5 linked regions of the Rattus norvegicus genome follow. The protein of the gene in region 4 purifies or fractionates together with the protein of the main gene of each other region. This does not show direct contact. Links are inferred from orthologs where the notes say so. Each region holds a gene or a part of one and is shown on either strand. Other genes may lie near its edges.

What was found.
Region 1: the proteins of Setdb1 (region 4) and Chaf1a purify together in Homo sapiens (affinity purification with western blotting; 3 studies listed by BioGRID and IntAct, with this or other methods). This does not show direct contact. The link is inferred for Rattus norvegicus from reciprocal best matches to the Homo sapiens genes SETDB1 and CHAF1A.
Region 2: the proteins of Setdb1 (region 4) and Suv39h1 purify together in Homo sapiens (affinity purification with mass spectrometry; 3 studies listed by BioGRID and IntAct, counting the BioPlex papers as one, with this or other methods). This does not show direct contact. The link is inferred for Rattus norvegicus from reciprocal best matches to the Homo sapiens genes SETDB1 and SUV39H1.
Region 3: the proteins of Setdb1 (region 4) and Atf7ip purify together in Homo sapiens (affinity purification with mass spectrometry; 6 studies listed by BioGRID and IntAct, counting the BioPlex papers as one, with this or other methods). This does not show direct contact. The link is inferred for Rattus norvegicus from reciprocal best matches to the Homo sapiens genes SETDB1 and ATF7IP.
Region 5: the proteins of Setdb1 (region 4) and Faf2 purify together in Homo sapiens (affinity purification with mass spectrometry; 3 studies listed by BioGRID and IntAct, counting the BioPlex papers as one, with this or other methods). This does not show direct contact. The link is inferred for Rattus norvegicus from reciprocal best matches to the Homo sapiens genes SETDB1 and FAF2.

Annotation. Positions count from the first base shown.
Region 1 is NC_086027.1:978,224-981,740, reverse strand, and holds part of Chaf1a (chromatin assembly factor 1 subunit A), read right to left. Parts: coding exon 3,471-3,517; intron 2,426-3,470; coding exon 2,365-2,425; intron 2,208-2,364; coding exon 2,139-2,207; intron 1-2,138. UniProt on the Homo sapiens protein: Acts as a component of the histone chaperone complex chromatin assembly factor 1 (CAF-1), which assembles histone octamers onto DNA during replication and repair.
Region 2 is NC_086039.1:17,091,666-17,095,862, forward strand, and holds the start of Suv39h1 (histone-lysine N-methyltransferase SUV39H1), read left to right. Parts: upstream 1-1,393; 5' UTR 1,394-1,560; coding exon 1,561-1,579; exon of another isoform or gene 1,580-1,981; coding exon of another isoform or gene 1,982-2,003; intron 2,004-3,675; coding exon 3,676-3,821; intron 3,822-4,197. UniProt on the Homo sapiens protein: Histone methyltransferase that specifically trimethylates 'Lys-9' of histone H3 using monomethylated H3 'Lys-9' as substrate. Also weakly methylates histone H1 (in vitro).
Region 3 is NC_086022.1:171,115,856-171,119,934, reverse strand, and holds the start of Atf7ip (activating transcription factor 7-interacting protein 1), read right to left. Parts: upstream 2,814-4,079; 5' UTR 2,661-2,813; exon of another isoform or gene 2,613-2,660; intron 1-2,612. UniProt on the Homo sapiens protein: Recruiter that couples transcriptional factors to general transcription apparatus and thereby modulates transcription regulation and chromatin formation. Can both act as an activator or a repressor depending on the context.
Region 4 is NC_086020.1:185,598,474-185,601,990, reverse strand, and holds part of Setdb1 (histone-lysine N-methyltransferase SETDB1), read left to right. Parts: intron 1-382; coding exon 383-1,051; intron 1,052-2,225; coding exon 2,226-2,342; intron 2,343-3,517. UniProt on the Homo sapiens protein: Histone methyltransferase that specifically trimethylates 'Lys-9' of histone H3. H3 'Lys-9' trimethylation represents a specific tag for epigenetic transcriptional repression by recruiting HP1 (CBX1, CBX3 and/or CBX5) proteins to methylated histones.
Region 5 is NC_086035.1:9,954,185-9,956,557, reverse strand, and holds part of Faf2 (FAS-associated factor 2), read left to right. Parts: intron 1-1,129; coding exon 1,130-1,312; 3' UTR 1,313-2,373. UniProt on the Homo sapiens protein: Plays an important role in endoplasmic reticulum-associated degradation (ERAD) that mediates ubiquitin-dependent degradation of misfolded endoplasmic reticulum proteins.

The sequences.
Region 1 (3,517 bases), on a different chromosome or scaffold from region 4:
TCGGCTGGGCCACTCATCCCACCATTGGCCGTGTATTCTCCAGTTGTTCTCTCTGACAGCTATGTCAGTGTGCACTAGGGCTGCACTTTGTATCCAGCCAGGCTGCTTGGCTGGTGCTCTCTCTAGTGGCCACACCAGAGGCTGCCAACTCCTAAAAACCATGCTACCAAAGCCTGGCCTCAGGGCTTCTTGGAGAGCAACCAGTACATCCCAGAGCATGCCCTGGGCTTTCTGAAGCTCTGAGTCAGAGAAGCAGCAGCTTGGGCCTCCTGTAGCATTAGGAATATACAAGATAGTCATAGCCCAGCTGACCACTTGAATCCCTAGTGCTTTACCAAGGTACAGGCCAGACAGGCAGGCAGAATCAGATCTAATATACAAGGGCTAACAGGGTGGCTCAGCAGGTCAAAAGCTCATCACCCATGCCTAGTATCCTGAGTCCAACTCTAAGAACCTGTCTGCGATGGGAGGAAAAACATTGACTACAGAAAATGTCCTCTGACCTCTGCATACACAGATACAAGAAAAAAATCATAAAGAAAAAGACACTCAGTTGCTTGCTGCCAAACCTAAGGACCTGGATTCCACACACAGAGCCCACACATTGTAAGAACTAACTCCTTTAAGTTTCATTCTTAACTACACATGTGCATCATGTGTAGTCACCCCCTCACTCTATAACCATTCACTTCATGCTCTTTCAGAGGACCTGAGTTTGGATGCCACATCCCACAGCTCAAAACCCCAACCCTCCCTAATTCTGCAGTCAAAGCCACAGAACATAAGACTTCCCAAGCAAGGGGTTGGGGATTTAGCTCAGTGGTAGAGCACTTGCCTAGCAAGCACAAGGCCCTGGGTTCGGTCCCCAGCTCCGAAAAATAGAAAAGGAAAAAAAAAAAAAAAAAAAGACTTCCCAAGCAAAAACCAAAACAGCCAGCAGAACAGGAAGGGACAAAGCGCAGGAGGTGGCAAGCTACCATACACAGTGCAGGCTACAGCAAGCTATCGTCAGGGCACTCCAAGCCCTTCCCCAGTGTTTCTTCCCACTGTAAGGTAAGTGGGTCTTGTCACTGGCTCTGGCTCTGGTATTGGTCACAGGTCAAGTGGCTGTAGCTGATGAACTTCCAGCTTCACAGGGTGATTAGCTGGGGACTTGATGGAGGAACAGAACAAATTCCTACATGTAAACAGACTCCTTCACTGAGCTGATGCGAGCGTCATTTCTTCACTCACCTGCAGGCCGAGGTGGCAGAGGTTAGGAGGGGCCACCTAACACCTCAGTTCCCACATGGTGGTGCTGGCCAGGGTCACCACAGCTTTCCTTCCCCACAAACAAGGCTCTACAGGGAACCTCAGAATTGCCACTGGAATCCACAGCACTATGGCATGTCTCACACTGGCCAGGTGATGAGAATAAAATATTTTGTGCAAACATTGAGACCATGTTCAGACCCTGGCATGTGCTTAGTTCTGAAATTACAGCATTCAGGGGCTGAAGAAAGATGGTGAGCTCAAGACTACCTCAGCCTACACAGCCATAATCCTAAGCCTACAGAGCTAGATCCTAACATGCCAGGGCCAGGATCGAAGATACCCCAAGCCACCAAAGCCACTGTGGGACCAGCATTTGAGCAACACACCATGTCAGGAGAGAAAAATGAGAGTGGGCAGTGAGGGAAGCTGGCTAGGTGAAAGGGCAGCCTCAGGCCACACACTTTCTATTGCACCTCAAGCCTCTCTGTTCCTATGGCTGCCATGCCAGCCACAGGTCAGCTCCCAGAGCAGCATTGCTGGGCTCCATGGCCTTCTAATGGCAAAGAAAAAGCTCAGACTTGAACCCTGACAGGAATGTATTCAGTGGTCCTAAAGCAAGGCTAAGGAGGTGTGTTGTCAGTACAATGCTGCCATCCAAGATAACAACCACATGAAACCTGGAGCGCGGCACGGGGATCTGGCACTGGAGCGGGAGCAGGGAGCCCTCTTCCTGCTTGCTGGCCAGCCAATCTACAGACAATTTGTAGGTATGAAGCTCCAAGAGATGATCTCAAAAACCAGAGTGGATGGAGCAAACTCACAGCAGTAAACACCCAGCAAGAGTCAACTGGGCCTAGAGCAGAGAGAGCTGAGGCGGCGCTCACCTTGGGAGCCTGCGGAGTCTTCGGTTTCTGAAAGAACCTGGTGATCTCTGCCTTCTCTGCCTTAATGCGCTGTGGTGGGAAGGAGACCAGACAGGCACTTACCCAAAGCATTCTGAGAAGGCATACTGCTCCCAACTGATGAGGGACCCACACAGTAAGGAAGCAGTTCTGGCACTGCAGCCCAGATAAGATCTGAGGGTGTATGGAGGGCAGGGAGCCAGGCTACCTTTTCTTCTTCCCGTAATCGCTTCTCCTCCTCTTTCCTCCTCTTCTCTTCCAGTTTAGCCCTGGGAGACAGAAGTGAGTTGTAAGCCCAGGGAATCAGCCCCTCCCAAATCCGATCTTCTACAAGGCTCTGGCACTGGGACTAACAAAGGAAAATGCACAACCTCAAAGTTCTTCTTTTTGCTTCTGAGACAGTCTTGTTAGGCAACCCAAGGCCTCCTGCTTCTGCCAATGTGCCAACGTTATTGGTATCCCAAGACTCCAAATAAAATTATTTTGAGAGAGGGTCTCACTATGTAGACTAGGCTCCAACTCACAGAATGCATTAGCTAGAGTGAGGATTAAAGGCATGCATCACATCTGCCCATCAATATAAAATTCTTGATGGGCTGGGGTTCTATGAGTAGAGTGGTGGCTAGTCATGCACCAGGCTGTTGTCCATTCCCAACATGTCAACACTCAGCACTCAGATGGAGGCAGGAGGATCAAAAGCCCGAAGTAATTTGCAGCAATACAACAAACTTGCTCAAAAATCACTTGCCATTTATTAATCTCAACTACCTACTTGCAAGGAACAAAGAATTTTTTGTTGTTGTTGTTGTTTTTGGTGGGCATAGTGGCATATGCTTTTAATCCCAGCAGAGGCAGGCTGATCTCTGAGTATGAGGTCAGCCTAGTCTACAGAGTGAGTTCCAGGACAGCCATGGCTACAGAGAAAACCTGTCTCAGAAAACCAAATGAAATGAAACCAAAAAGAGAAAAACAAATGAACAGTACTATCTGGATAGAAATGAGAATGTCTCATGAGATACAGAGCTCCTGTGAACTTCTTTCAGAGTCAAAACCTCACGGGACACAGTGGTTATCCACTGAGGCAATGGTCCAGTTAGGAAACTGAAGAAGAAATCCTGATGTGACTAGAGCATTTAAAACCAAAATCCCAATCAGCCTGGTAGCCACCAGCCAGCCAAAGCCCACAGCCCCACAGAACATAGGCCAGAAGCCAACTACACCTCTCTAATCAAGCTCCAGAGAGTGAGAATGAGAAACAGAAAGGACTCATCAGGGAACACAGCTGTGGAATGCCCATAGGGGCTGGCCACTCACTCCAGAGCTTCCTGTCGCTCCTTTCGTCTTTCCTCCTTGAGCCGCTG
Region 2 (4,197 bases), on a different chromosome or scaffold from region 4:
TGCTATACAGTGTAGTATCTCTTGCCATGCTAACACTAGAGTACAATGAAGTCTGGAAATCTGTAATAAATTGCACTTTGAGAAATCCTAGATCTTCCTAACTTTTCTGGTATATGTACATGTTACTGTGGGCTGTGTACATGTGCATGCACACGTGTATGCTAGAGGTCAATGTCGGGCATCTCCCTTGATTGTGATCCATTTTATTTTTAATTTTATTACATTTATTGTGCGTGTGTGTGAGCATATAGATATGTAGGCCAGAGTTGAGCATCTTCCTTGATTGATTTCGTAGTATTTAAATTTTTTTACTACATTTATTTGGGCTATGTGTGTACACACATCTACCAAGGTGCAGGTGTGGAGAACAGAAGACAGCTTACAGGAATGGGTTCTGTCTTATAAAAGCAAGTTCAGGCCTCCTGACACAACTCCAGCACTTTGTTGCTGGATGTGGCTTTTACATGGATGCCGAGAATGAGAATCTGAATTCAAGCCTTTACGCTAGCATAGCCGACACTTTACTGAGCCATCTCCACAGCCCCTTGCCCAATTCTTTGGTCTTTCCGCATTTTCTGCCTTTAGCAGCCAGTTCTCACACGCGGAGTTTTCCCTTTAAATCGGGGATCCACTGATAAGTAGCCCCAAGGTTTCATCATTCTGCTCCCTATTGTGAGGGCCTAGCTAGATGCTATGGCTGATGAATCATGATGTAAACGAGGAGCAACCAAATTGAACCACAGTAATCAAGTGACAGTGTGAGTGTCTAGAGAGAGCTATTGGGAGCTGACAATTTGTTCTCATCTAATCTCAGTCTACCTTAGGACATGGGTGGACATTGTCATTTATGAGACATTTCCTTCAGAGGTAGATGGAGAAAAGGGCTGACTGGCTGACAGCGTGATGGGGACAGCTTGAGGGAATAGTAGGCTGCCTAACGGCACAAGGGCTGTGTTTCAGTGAACTCAAACGGCTGCAGGGCACAGACGGATGCTACTATTGACTGACGTAGTGCGAATGAAGAAGCGAGTGATCTGAACGGACACCTGATGGCAGCGACCGACTTATTTTTTATTTGAATCAGATGACTGACTGAACACCTATATATGGCTCTAGATCCACCCTGGAAGTGAATGCTTGCTCTAGGTTAAAATATGACGGGCAGAATTGGGGTCGGACAAAACAATCCCTTTATGACTGGCTGACGACATGATTGGCTAGCACTATGACTGACAGGAGGTAGAGCCTGGAGCAAAGTCAACCATTGCTCCTGCGCAGGCGCAGCACATTGAATAAAAGCAGCAGGCACGGGCGCTCGAGACCACTCCTGGTGACGGGAGGTGCTGCTGCGCAGGCGCATGCTGAATAAAAGCAGCGAGCACCGGCGCTCGAGACCACTCCTGGTGACGGGAGGAGTCCAGTCACAGCTCCCCGGTTGGTCTGAGCGGGAGCTGCGGGCGGTGAGGAACGGCCAATAGACTGCGCGTCCCCGGCCACGCCCGCGCGCGCTCTCTTCTCGCGAGGCCTTTTAGGCCCGAATGTCGTTAGCTGTGGAGAAAGATGGCGGAAAATTTAAAAGGTGAAGCTGTGGTGGTAGAGACGCAAGCTACTGGCCCGGCCGAGTAGAATGGAGGGAAGGTGTCCAGGGTTCCGAGCCGGGCGTCCGGAGCCACGGAACCTGGAGCTAGAAGGCCGGCGCGGAAAACGTGGGGCCCGAGAGCGCGGGCCGGGCGCGCGGGCAGGGCGGGGCTGAGGGGAGGGGGCGCGTGCTTCGGCCGCGGGGGGCGCGGGGCTGCGCAGACTGCGCGCGGGGTTTCTCGGCCGCGCGCGGCTGGCCGGCGCGCCTACGCGCGTGAGAGAGTCCTGAAGAGAAGGTTGCGGCCACGCGCGGGAAAAGCGGCTCTCAGTGACCGTTACCCTTTCGGTTTCCACGGGAGACGCCGGAAGGGGAGGAAGAAGTGGAACGGACCCCCTTCTCAAAATGGGGGAACCGGCGACTCTAGGTGGGAAAGGGATCTCGGCCAGATGGGGGCAGGGTTTAGGGGTGGACGATTCTCCCCAGAAAGCGGGATTGGGGGCCTCGGTGAGGAGGGCAGGGCTCCTCCATGTGCAGGAAAAGAGGGGTGACTGTGCGTGTTGGGCGGGCTCCTCGGCAGTGAGTAAAGCTGTGAGCATAGATTCCACAAGTGTGAGCAGGAGCTCGGATGGGTAGGAGTGCGGCTGCGGTTAGTGCGCAGCCAGATGCTGGAGATGTTATTTTCAGGCCACTTCTCAGGGGTTTCAAAGGCTTTTCCAACACGGGTTAGAGGCTTTGGGCAAGGAAAGGCCTTGGGTAAAAGGATGAGTGTACACGCAATGAGTTTTTTGAAACTGTTTTGTATGTTCTTAGATTACAATCTAGAGTATCTTATTAGGATCGTTTTAGGTTTGAGTAGAAAGATGGAGTTGGTTATTGACAGCATACCCCTAGCATCAAGTGGTTTTGTGACATATTTGATTTTTAAAAATGGCTTCTAAAATTACGTTGAAGGGATGTGCTCTGAAGCAAAAAAAAATGTGTATATTTTAAATCTGTTTCGCTTGAACAATTTTGGTGACCCTCAAGAGTGTCAGCGACTTACCACATGTATTGTTTGCATGTTACCGAATTAAGAGCAGATCCCTTTAGATTGAGTTGTACTTTTAAGAGAAACGTGGGATGAGACAGCAAGTGATAATGCAGCCTGGAAAAATAGGCCTTGGGTATATAAAGTGGTCTAGAATAAGTCCAAGAAGCTTCCAGTAATGTAGTACCCCTCCACCCCCCGGACAGACTGGCTGTTCTGGAACTCAGATTGACTTGCCTCTGCCTTTCAAGTGCCCAGTCTAAAGCACCACTATGTCCACCTTAATGTAATGTCTTTCTACAGTCTTTATAATTCAAGAATCTAAAAAAAACATTGAACTAGAAGTCTTTCTGAAATTTGTCACTAATCATGGCAAGAGATTTTTACAAGTGGGATTATTCAGTGAGAATATTTATTTTAATATGAATAATCAAGGCTTTTGCTATAGATGTGTTTGCTATTAATGTGTTTTGATTATAGATGGCTTAACGTCCTAGACCCTGCCAGGAATTCGCCTAAAATTACTTGTGTAAAATTCCCAAATGTTTGATCCAAAATCCAGTGGCCCAGAAGTTTCAAGATAAGTGAAGACTTTACAGCAACACCTCTGGTGCCCTAGTGATTTTCGCCCTACCCTGCCTCCCTTAGTCAACGCACCCCACTGAGCTAGGAAGCTATTGTCTTTTCTTTTGCAAAGTGCAATGAGCATTGATTAAGGCTCTGACCTCAGGTAAGTTTGCTGGGAGCTTAAGGCCTTGGATGTTCTGGGAGTGGATCCCTTTATGGACTTGACAATTGCTACAAGCTCCACATCATCCTTGCTATTTCAGAGTTAGGGGGGTAGGGTTTGGAGTTGAAGATTCCCCCAGAAGAGGGCGTAGGTCCTCTGATCGGAGAACTGGACTCTTCCATGTGCACAGAAAGACAGGTTGGGTAACTTTTTCTGGTGTTGCCCTGAGATTTGAACATTAGGTTTCAAGGAATTGTCATTTCTTGTTACAGAGGATTTTAGCTTTGAGTAAGACCTGTGATTACATTTTTTTGTGGGTCTTTGGCCTTCTCATTCCAGGTTGCAGTGTGTGCTGTAAATCTTCCTGGAATCAGCTGCAGGATCTGTGCCGACTAGCCAAGCTTTCTTGTCCTGCCCTTGGTGTTTCTAAGAAGAATCTGTATGACTTTGAAGTTGAATACCTGTGTGATTATAAGAAGATCCGTGTAAGTCTGGGGTGTGTGTGATACTACACTGGAGGGGACCCTCTTTTCTACCCAACCCTCACATCTGTTTGCAAAGAGGATTTTTCTCTGATTCATCCTGGGGGAGAATGGGATGAATTGACCCTCTTATTTCTATTTTACAGGGAGGGAAATTAAGTGACTTTCTTAGAGAACAAGAGGCAGAATGAATCGTCAAATGCATGTCTATTTCCACCTAGAAATAGAATAGTTACAAAATTGAAATTCTATGCCTAAGAGTGGAAGATGACAACAGGTAGTAGAAACAGTTACTGATGCCACAGAAGTAGTAGCAGGTTAGAGGAGCCCACTGAAAGCAGCATGTTTAGTTGAAATGTAGCCTTCAGTTTCTTGTCTG
Region 3 (4,079 bases), on a different chromosome or scaffold from region 4:
CTCCATAGTGAGTTCGAGAACAGCCAGGGCAGAGAAAGCTAGTCTTGGAAAAAAATAAAGAAATGACTAAACAAACAAACATTAAGTGATAAATTTTTATAGACTGATCTACCACAGCAAAAGTGAAGTCACAAAGATCCCAGAGTAGTTAAGATTATTAACTTCATACTAAATCTTCATAATGTATAAGTGTAAAATATTCAAACATAGCACAAAGATCAAGTAATTTGTAAAAAATAAAATTTTAATTTTATGACTTAAATCATTCCAGCCTGATTTTTTTTCTAACTACATATTTAAAATTTACAAAACTACTATATTTTTAAATAGCTTCAGTAATTGTTCTACTTTGGGTAACCTAGTATGTGTGTGTACATATATATTATATATAATATATATAAAACATATAATATATAAAACATATAATATACATATATACACAGTGTATGTTAAAGCTTCATTTAATCATAACCAAACTAAAACTTCAAACTTTTAGTACTTGTTTCTGAAATACAACCATTGACCTTCAGACAATTCATTTTTAGTAAACTTAAAATTACATTTTAAAAAAAGATTTATTTATTATATACAGTGTAGCTGTCTTCAGACACACCACAAGAGAGCATCAGATCTCATTACAGATGATTGTGAGCGACCATGTAGTTGCTGGGATTTGAACTCAGGACCTCTGGAAGAGCAGTCAGTGCTCTTAACCGCTGAGCCATCTCCCCAGTCCTTAAAATTACATTTGCCTTCTAAGAAATATAGTAGCGGGGGCTGGGGATTTAGCTCAGTGGTAGAGTGCTTACCTAGGAAGCGCAAGGCCCTGGGTTCGGTCCCCAGCTCCGAAAAAAAGAACCAAAAAAAAAAAAAAAAAAAGAAATATAGTAGTAAAACTGTGCCATCGATATTGAAATTGAATGTTATACAGTTTTCCAGTGCCTCTATGATCTTCAATATTAATTCATGACACAGTTACCCATGCATTCAAAGAAAAGTGTAATTTTAAATACATAAACCCAAGTACTAGGAGTACAAACATGGGGTGAGGGGAACCGCCTCAGAAGCATCAAAGTCTCAAAAAGGCAGAACTGCCTCCATTCCTTTTACAAGACAACAGAGGCTCAAGAGTCCCATTACATCAAATTTAGACCTGCTTGCTACAGGGGGAGAAAAGACAAGATCTTCCTCATCCTTCCATTCGATGCCATATGTCACATCATTTAAAAAAAAAAAAAAGAAAAAAGAAAAAAGCTCCTTTCACTTATACCCTGCTATTTCTAATAGTACTTGTTTCAGGTAATAGAGATACCCCAAACCAATCGACATTATATAAAACAACACTTTAACTTGACAACAGACTGAGTTAAACTTGGGTTACATAATCAACTAAAAAGGGACTGTACATGTGAATGACAGATAAAGTTTATGAAACCATTTACAAGTTTTTAGACCAGTAAGAAACAAGTGGCAGAATAAAAAAATGATATTTTAAATTATATGTATATTGACCCAATTATTCTACGTACAACTGAAATTTAGTGGCACCACAACTTTAATCAGTAGCACACCAGTTATTTTAAGAAACTAAAACCAGAACATATACAGCTAAAAAATATGTAAAGCATACAATCATACACATATACTACAGTGCACATATTTTTTTAAAAACTCAAAAATTTTAATTGATTCCCTGAATACATAAAGGCCTCAATATAACTTGGAATTATTTGTAAAATTCTTCATCAAAAACCGGTATCAGGTATAATAGCTTATACGTCATTACAAAATGATGAGAAAACGAGTTCATTTTTAATATTTAAATAACTGAAAAAATACTAAAACTAAAAACAAAAGATTCAAGTACTTGGCAAACTGTTCAGGATTAAAACTTCATTGACCAGATGAAATATTTTCTTTAAAAGAAAAGATAGAATACCTGAAAAAACTGAGATTTCAACCCAATTTGTACATTTTCTAATTCTCCTCGGAAACTAAACAATACAAAAATAAAATGGTTTCTATTTTTCTAAGTTTCTATTTTGTAAACACTGCACATCCAAAAGCGAACTGGTAACCACAGGGTTAAAAATGTATTTACAAAAGTGCAGCTGAAGTAAATGCACTTCCCCCGAGAACACCACTAGGTGCTGATCTTATCTCCCTTAATGCAATGCAAATCCAGAAACACCTAACTAAACGTGAAATTATAATCGAGAACCACAAGAGACAATTTGTACCAAAAAATCAAGTCTGCACCGGTGAGACAGTCAGAGAAACTAAGAATTTTGAGGTGCGGGAAGGTTTAAGACACGAGAGAAACGTTTCCCTCGGAAAATGTGAAAAGAAGAGGCACGAGACGAAACCCCCTCGAGAATGAGAAAAATTAAATCTAGAACCCAAATGGCGTCCAACAAGAACATTAGCTCTTGAAAATGAATATTGCGCTTGCGCAGCCACCGCCCGGACAGCTGCTCAACTGCAGCTAGAGCCCGACCCCCAGCGATCACGTGCTCCCATGCAGCGCCCGCCCGCAGCTTCGCAACCGCGCAGGCGCACACTCAACTCCCGCAGCCGCCATAATGCGGTCTTGACTCTTCCGAAATACAATAGTCATTTCGCCGACTGTGGTTAGAACAGCCCCTGGCACTCGCATATACCTTCGGGGGCGGGAGGTGAGGGCCTGGGACCCGAGTTCCTTCCTACGCAGCCGTCCCGCGCAGCCGTCCCGGACGCTGCCGTCTCAGCCGTGCGCTCCACTCGCCGCCACCGCAGATTCAAAAACAAACCCGCTTCTCCCCAGCACGCGCCGGGGCCGTTATGCAAATAGGTGGGGGCGGAGCTTCGTGGGCGCACTATGTACTCCACCCACTGCGCGATCGGCCAATGAGAGCGCGCGATGCCTATTCTCCATGCAAATCTCCTGGTTTTTTATTTGAATGAGGGATTTTGGCCACGCCTCCTGCCTTGAAAAATGAGGCCCGTCTGCCGTGGTGGCGCTGCGGTCTTTTCAATCGCGTCCGGAGGTGAATTTTTTTCCGGTTGCCTCTTTTTTAATCCTCGAGGTGTTTTTTTGTTTTGTTTTGTTTTTGCATGGAGATTCCTCAGTAGCCACCCCTCCATGAAACTTGAGAAAAGAAGTAGGTGAGTGCTTAAAAAGCGAAAAGACTTTTCCATAAAGTCTAGAAGCCTAGAGTACGGAAAATTATTAACATTAATTTTTGTTAATTTTTATCTTTTTGTTTTGTAATGTTGAGGAAGATTCATGCAATTTAGTTCAGTCTAGCATTGAACTTGCCACGTAGCCCACACAGGTCTGGAATTTGAAATCAGTCGGCCTCAACCTCTCAAGTGTTGCTTACAGGTATCACTTAAAGTTCACTAAACTAATTGTATTAATCACAAGAGGTGGAGATAAACATCTTTGGGGGGGGGTAATCTGTAACAGAGCAAGTACTACCAGTCATACCCTCACACCTCATAAACTCACGTATCTCTGAAATACAGATAATAATTACTGTTCCACCAAACAATTACTGACTCAGACTGTAGAAAAGATCCTAAATATGCTTTTTGTATATCAGTAAGGGCCAGGAAAAAAATGGGTGGGAAATTTAATCCCTTAAACTTAATTTCTCCCTTAAAGTATTTATTCAATAGTAATTTAAGCAATCACTGTGTTCCAAAACTTAAGTAGCTGTCAGGGCTGAGGAAATCTATACTCCCATAGGCAGATGTGGCTCAACTCCCAGCGGCACTCAGGGAGGATGAGGGAGATCTTGAGAGAACAAGGACAACCTGGGGCCATGGGCTCCCAGATCATCTGGAGCTTGAGACTCTTCTCTCCAAAGAAGCTCACAGCTTTAATTACTGTCCTGTACTTGACTCTTCAACAAAGGACATTAAACAGGCAAACCCAAGGGATTTAAAATTGAAGAAGCAACCCACTGGGGACATGAAATATGGTACAGTATCCAGAATCTTTCCAGTGCCAGCCCATCCACAAGCTAGGCAAGGGCTCTGCTATTAGGTGATAGCATCAACCCAGAATTGCCAGAACCATGAGATGAACACATCAC
Region 4 (3,517 bases):
TCCTTGACTTTTAGGAGATGGCAAGGATGTTTAGAAGTACCCTATTGAACTGTTGACAGTCTGTCTGAGGAGTCAACAGGGAGTAGCATTACATTGTTGTCCAGGTTTGTTTGGTAAGGCAAAGGATCTGACCTTGTTCTTTAGCGTCCCGAGCACAGCTGGCTGGTGTATTAGTACACACCTGTAATCTCAGTTCTTGAGAGGACAGAGCAGAAGATTTGGGAGCTGCAGAATATTCTGGGCTACATGAGACCTTGTCTCAAACAATAAAACAAAAAAACTGTATGAAAGATGAGAGAAATGACTTAGCCAGATGGAGAGAAAACTATATAGCAAAGAGGCTTGTTGCCTTCTGATCTAATATCTTGCTTTTCATTTGCAGATCACCTTCAGCCTCTGTAACATCTACCCCAGCACCTGCAGCCCCTTCTGGGCCTCCAGCCCCTCCAGGGCCTCTTGCTCCTCCTGGACCACCGGCCCCTCCAGCTTTCCACGGCATGTTAGAGCGGGCACCAGCTGAGCCCTCCTATCGTGCCCCTATGGAGAAGCTTTTCTATTTACCTCATGTCTGCAGTTACACTTGTTTGTCCCGGATTAGACCCATGAGGAATGAACAATATCGGGGCAAAAACCCTCTACTGGTCCCACTATTGTATGACTTCCGGAGGATGACAGCACGTCGCAGAGTTAACCGCAAGATGGGCTTCCATGTAATCTATAAGACACCCTGTGGTCTCTGCCTTCGGACGATGCAGGAAATAGAGCGCTACCTTTTTGAGACTGGCTGTGACTTCCTGTACCTGGAGATGTTCTGTTTGGATCCATATGTCCTTGTTGACAGAAAGTTCCAGCCCTTTAAACCTTTTTACTATATTTTGGACATCACCTATGGCAAAGAAGATGTTCCCCTGTCCTGTGTTAATGAGATTGACACAACTCCCCCACCCCAGGTGGCCTACAGCAAGGAACGCATTCCTGGCAAGGGTGTTTTCATTAACACAGGCCCTGAATTTCTGGTTGGCTGTGACTGCAAGGATGGGTGTCGGGATAAGTGAGTTGGTGGGGTGTGCAGACATTGCTGTCTCTGCCTTCAGGTTTAATACAGTTGCTTTTCTTTTTATTCTTTTATTCTTTTTTATTTGTATTGCTTTTTCTATATTCCCTTTCCTCTTTCAGCTAGAATTCTGCTAAGCCATTGTGAAATACAGATACAGAAGCTGGGTGCAGTGGCACAGACCTGTAATCTCAGCATTTGAAATTCAGCACTGCAGCAGGTTCATCTTGAGCTCTGGGCCAGCCTAGGCTAGCTACACAGTGAGATCTTACTGAAAAGAAAAAAAGAAAGACATGAGATAGGGACACCAGGGTCTGATAGTCTTATATGGCCCCATGAGTTACCCTGGGAATTGTTCTGTTCCTATCCCCACTTGCTATTTTTGTCTCCCCTTTTCTTTCTTTCTTTCTTTTTTTTTTTTTTTTTTTTTTTTTTCCGGAGCTGGGGACCGAACCCAGGGCCTTGTGCTTGCTAGGCAAGCGCTCTACCACTGAGCTAATTCCCCAACCCGTCTCCCCTTTTCTTAAACTTTCATCTTGTCTCTGTTTTCTGCACTATGATTCTCTATATCTACTCTACTCTCACTGTATCTTATTCATGCTTGTTCTTACTACCTTTACCCTACCCCCATCCTTTGTGGTTGATTTTTGCCCTAAGGCTCAGGTTTGTTGATGGCTTAAAGGGCTATTGGGAGTCCCTGGTGACTGAGGGTGAGGCCTGGAAGTTCCTGGCAAGTGAAAGAGTTTACATAACCAAGAACTGCTTAAAAGTATGGCTTTTAGCTCCACCTTGCCATAGTAGAGCTTGCTTCTTGCTCAGCATGGCTCTGGAGGTTAGAGCCTTTCTATTTCTCAAAATTTAGGCAGTCCTTGCCAACAAGGTCACCCACTCAGCAGGTGCACCTCCTTACCACAATGGGCACCTTGGGCATGGAAGAGCCTGGCTTAAGATGAGTGACTATAGCTAGCAGGTCCTAAGTTGTGTGTTCAGCTCAGTTTTTATTTAAGATGGCTCAAGCCAGCCGGAACTTACTAGCTGAGGATAGCAGTTAACCACTGATCCTCCAACTTCTATGTCTCAAATGTTGATTACAGATGTGGATCACTATGCCCAGCCCTCATCCTCATGAACCTAAGAACCACAGCTGTAGTTACCTTCTCTCTCTCTGCAGATCCAAGTGTGCCTGCCATCAGCTCACTGTCCAGGCCACAGCCTGTACCCCAGGGGGTCAGATCAACCCTAGCTCCGGCTACCAGCACAAAAGACTAGAAGAGTGTCTGCCCACAGGGTAAGTAGTCAGTTTGCCCAAGTCCTCAGAGGAGTACATTCTTGTTTTTCTGTTTGTAAGAACCTTTGGAAACCTAACTTGCCAGGAGGCTGAAACAGGAAGATAGTTTCAGATCCATCTGAGCTATAATACTAAAATTCTGTCTCAAAAAATATATGAGAGTAATTAGAGAGTTTTCACTACTTTTTCTTATGCAGAAATCTTAGAAGGATGTGATAGCATATGCTTGTAATCCCAGCACTCAGGAGGCAGATGCAGAAGGATTGCTTGATTTCTAGGTCTGCTTAGACAATGCAGCAACACCTTGTGTAGAAACAAACAAAAATGGAATTGGCAGTGCTCAGCAGTTCAGAGTGAAGCACCTGTTCCTGCAGAGGACTTGGTTTGATTCTAGCACCTACATGGTGGCTCATAGCCACTTGTCACTCCGGTTCCAGGGGATCTGGTACACAAATGCTCACAGACATGCATGCAAACAAAACACTCATATACCTAAGATTAATTTCATAGATGTCTGAATGTTCTGATTATGACGAGTGAATTACAGGGCTTTGTTAACCTAAAATGAAAAGTTAGAATCAGGCCCAGTGGTAGTGGTGTAGTCTTGTAATCTCAGCACTTGGGAGACAGAGGCAGGAAGTTAAAGGACACCCTGGTCTGTTCCAGGCCAGTGAGTGGGGAAAAGAAAGTTAGAGTCAAAATCGTGATAAATAGGTAAGTAGGTAGGATTTTTGTTTTTTTGGTTTTTTTTTTTTTGGGGGGGTTCTTTTTTTCGGAGCTGGGGACCGAACCCAGGGCCTTGCGCTTCCTAGGCAAGCGCTCTACCACTGAGCTAAATCCCCAACCCCGGTAGGTAGGTTTTTAAGTAGCCTTTTAATATTTTTTTTTCTTTTTGGGGGGTGCTATTTGTCTTAGATCAGAAAAACAGAATTTCAAAGATTTCAAAGACCAACTTGGTAATTTTAAGAGAATATATGAGAAGTAATGGGAGCTTAGGCCTTACACTAGAATGGAAATGGCAATGGGGATTAAGGAGGATAGGGCTGAGTGTGTAGCCCAACAGAGGCATGGTTAATATGCACCAAGAATGAAGTAATAAATGAGAGCTGTTGGGTGCATGAGAAAGTACAGCTCTATAGAGAGAGAACTTGTTTGTTGGTTGGTTGGGGTTTTTT
Region 5 (2,373 bases), on a different chromosome or scaffold from region 4:
CATAAATAAATACATCTTTTTTTAAAAAATAAAAATTAAAAAACAAGTTTAAAAGACTGAAGAACCTTGTTGTTTCAGAGTACATCCCTACATACACCCCCAGTTAGAGAAAACCTGGTCCCACCTGAACTGTCATCGGTGTGTACCATAATTAAATGTGCACAGTACTTTCAGTTCACTGGTGTGAGTACTTTAAACCATTTTAAGGACAGGAGAATGCATGAGTTATAGCTGAATGCCTGAGGAACTTGGCTTGGAGGAGGATCCTGAAACCTCCATGGTATGGAAGGATAGCATATTAAACTTTGTAGTATATCAGTTAAATGCTCTGATTTTGAGGTTATTTAAAGTCTTCTGAGATAATGGGATACCAGGTTGGCAGACAGCTTAAAATGAACTCAAAGGGGATAAATATTCTGAACACTGCCTTCCAGCTTTTCCGAAACCATGCCTATTTCTAGTAAGTATTGTTTGCTTGGGTGGTTGTAATTGCCCCATGCTGCTGCATGCCTTTGATCTCAGCATAGGGGGAGGCAAAAGAGGCGGTGGATCTCTGAGCTACATTGTGAGACCCTTAAATAAGTAAAGAAAAATTTTAAATTGTTTAGCTTTACCTAAGGTCAGATTCTTGGGTGGCAGGGCTGGGGTGGGGGGAGTCAAAAGACTAGCTTGTGTGAATTCTTTTTTTTCTAAGACATGCTGTCTGGAACTCACTATGTAGACTAGGCTGGCCTTGAACTCACATTATTCTGCCTCCAAAAGTGTTGGGCTCGTGCAGTCTTCTGTCTCCTTTACATGGTATAAGGCACTCACAGTGAACTGACAGCACTGAGCACAAGTAATTATGGTGCTCACTAGTACGTCGTTCAGGTTTCCCACTGTAGGGTTCTCTAACTCGGGGTGTTTGTAGGGACGTACTCTGGAGCTATGAGGGTATGAGGTTCCTCAGTCTCTTAAACTGTTTTTCTAAAGGCATGGGCTGCCACACTCCGGTGAACTCTTTAAAAGAAGGTAGAATTCCATTAGAATAGGACTACTGTCTGCTTGGGTCTTCCTGGGGAAGGTTAGGACATGGGACTTCACAGTGAGTCTCTCCTTACCACGTTCTTTTTCTGTGTGGCATCTACAGGTCATCCACGACTTCTTATTCTCCTTGAAGGAAAGCCCTGAAAAGTTTCAGATTGAAGCCAATTTTCCAAGACGGGTACTTCCCTGTGTCCCTTCAGAGGAATGGCCCAACCCCCCCACCCTGCAGGAGGCGGGACTAAGCCACACAGAAGTTCTCTTTGTTCAGGACCTGACAGACGAATGACACTTTTCTGCCTCCTTCTTCCCACCCCAATCCCTAAAAGAAATGGAAAAACAAAAACAGAGAACAAGAGATAAATTCATATTATTATTATTATTATAATACAATATTTTTTTTAAAAAAACTGCTGCATCCTGCGGAAGGATCGGAAACCATGCTGCCTGCAAGAGGCACAGCCTGTGTGCGTGTGCAAGGCCGGCAGTGAATGCACCTGCCCAGCAGACTCGCCTTCCACAGCCGCCTCTCCATCCTCCAGTGAAGACTTCACCTCCAACCCATCCCTCCGCCCACGTGGGGAAGGAGACATTCCCACTGTTTCTCAGTCATTCTTGCTTTTGTAGAAAAGAAAAAAAGAAACCCACCATCAGCTCCAGCAGCAGCTCCTGAGGACCTGCTTCTCCTACTTCCAGAGGAAGAGGGGAGAGAAGGATGGACTGACTGCCCACAGTTCATGAATAACTTTGTTTCTGTTTGCTTTGTAATGATAATGACCAAAGGAGTGAGGCTGACTTAGGTGTATTTTTTCCTCAGATTTGATAAAGAGCCAGTGCCCTGGGCTCCATGGCCCACGGCGGTGTAATAAAGGTGCCCTGGGCTCATTTGTGCTTCCTTCTGCCACTGTTCCTCTCACGGTCCCAGAGGTATCCCATTTGGAGCAATGAGAGGAAGTCTGGGATTGTGACCCACAAAAGGCTGTGTGTGGGGTGTGTGTTCCCTTTACACACACATACAGCTTCTCCTTGGCATCTGTACCAGGTGGTGGTGAAGGGGTCTCAGCCAAAGGACAGCAGCTCCTGCTTCCCCTCTGACTGCACACACTGCTCTTCCCGGCTTTCCTAACTTGCCGAGCTCGGTGCCTTTCCAGAGGACTAGGGCCCGGGCCCTCCGTCCCACCTGCGGAGGCTCGTCCTGTTTGAGTGCACATATGATAATGATGTTTAAGGATATAGACCCATCGCAGGCATGGTGGTGTGCTGGGAGGCAGAGGCAGCAGATCTCTGAATTCCAGGCCAGCCTGGTCTACAGAGTGAGGAGGCCCTGTCTCAAAGTTTTGAACCAGAAAC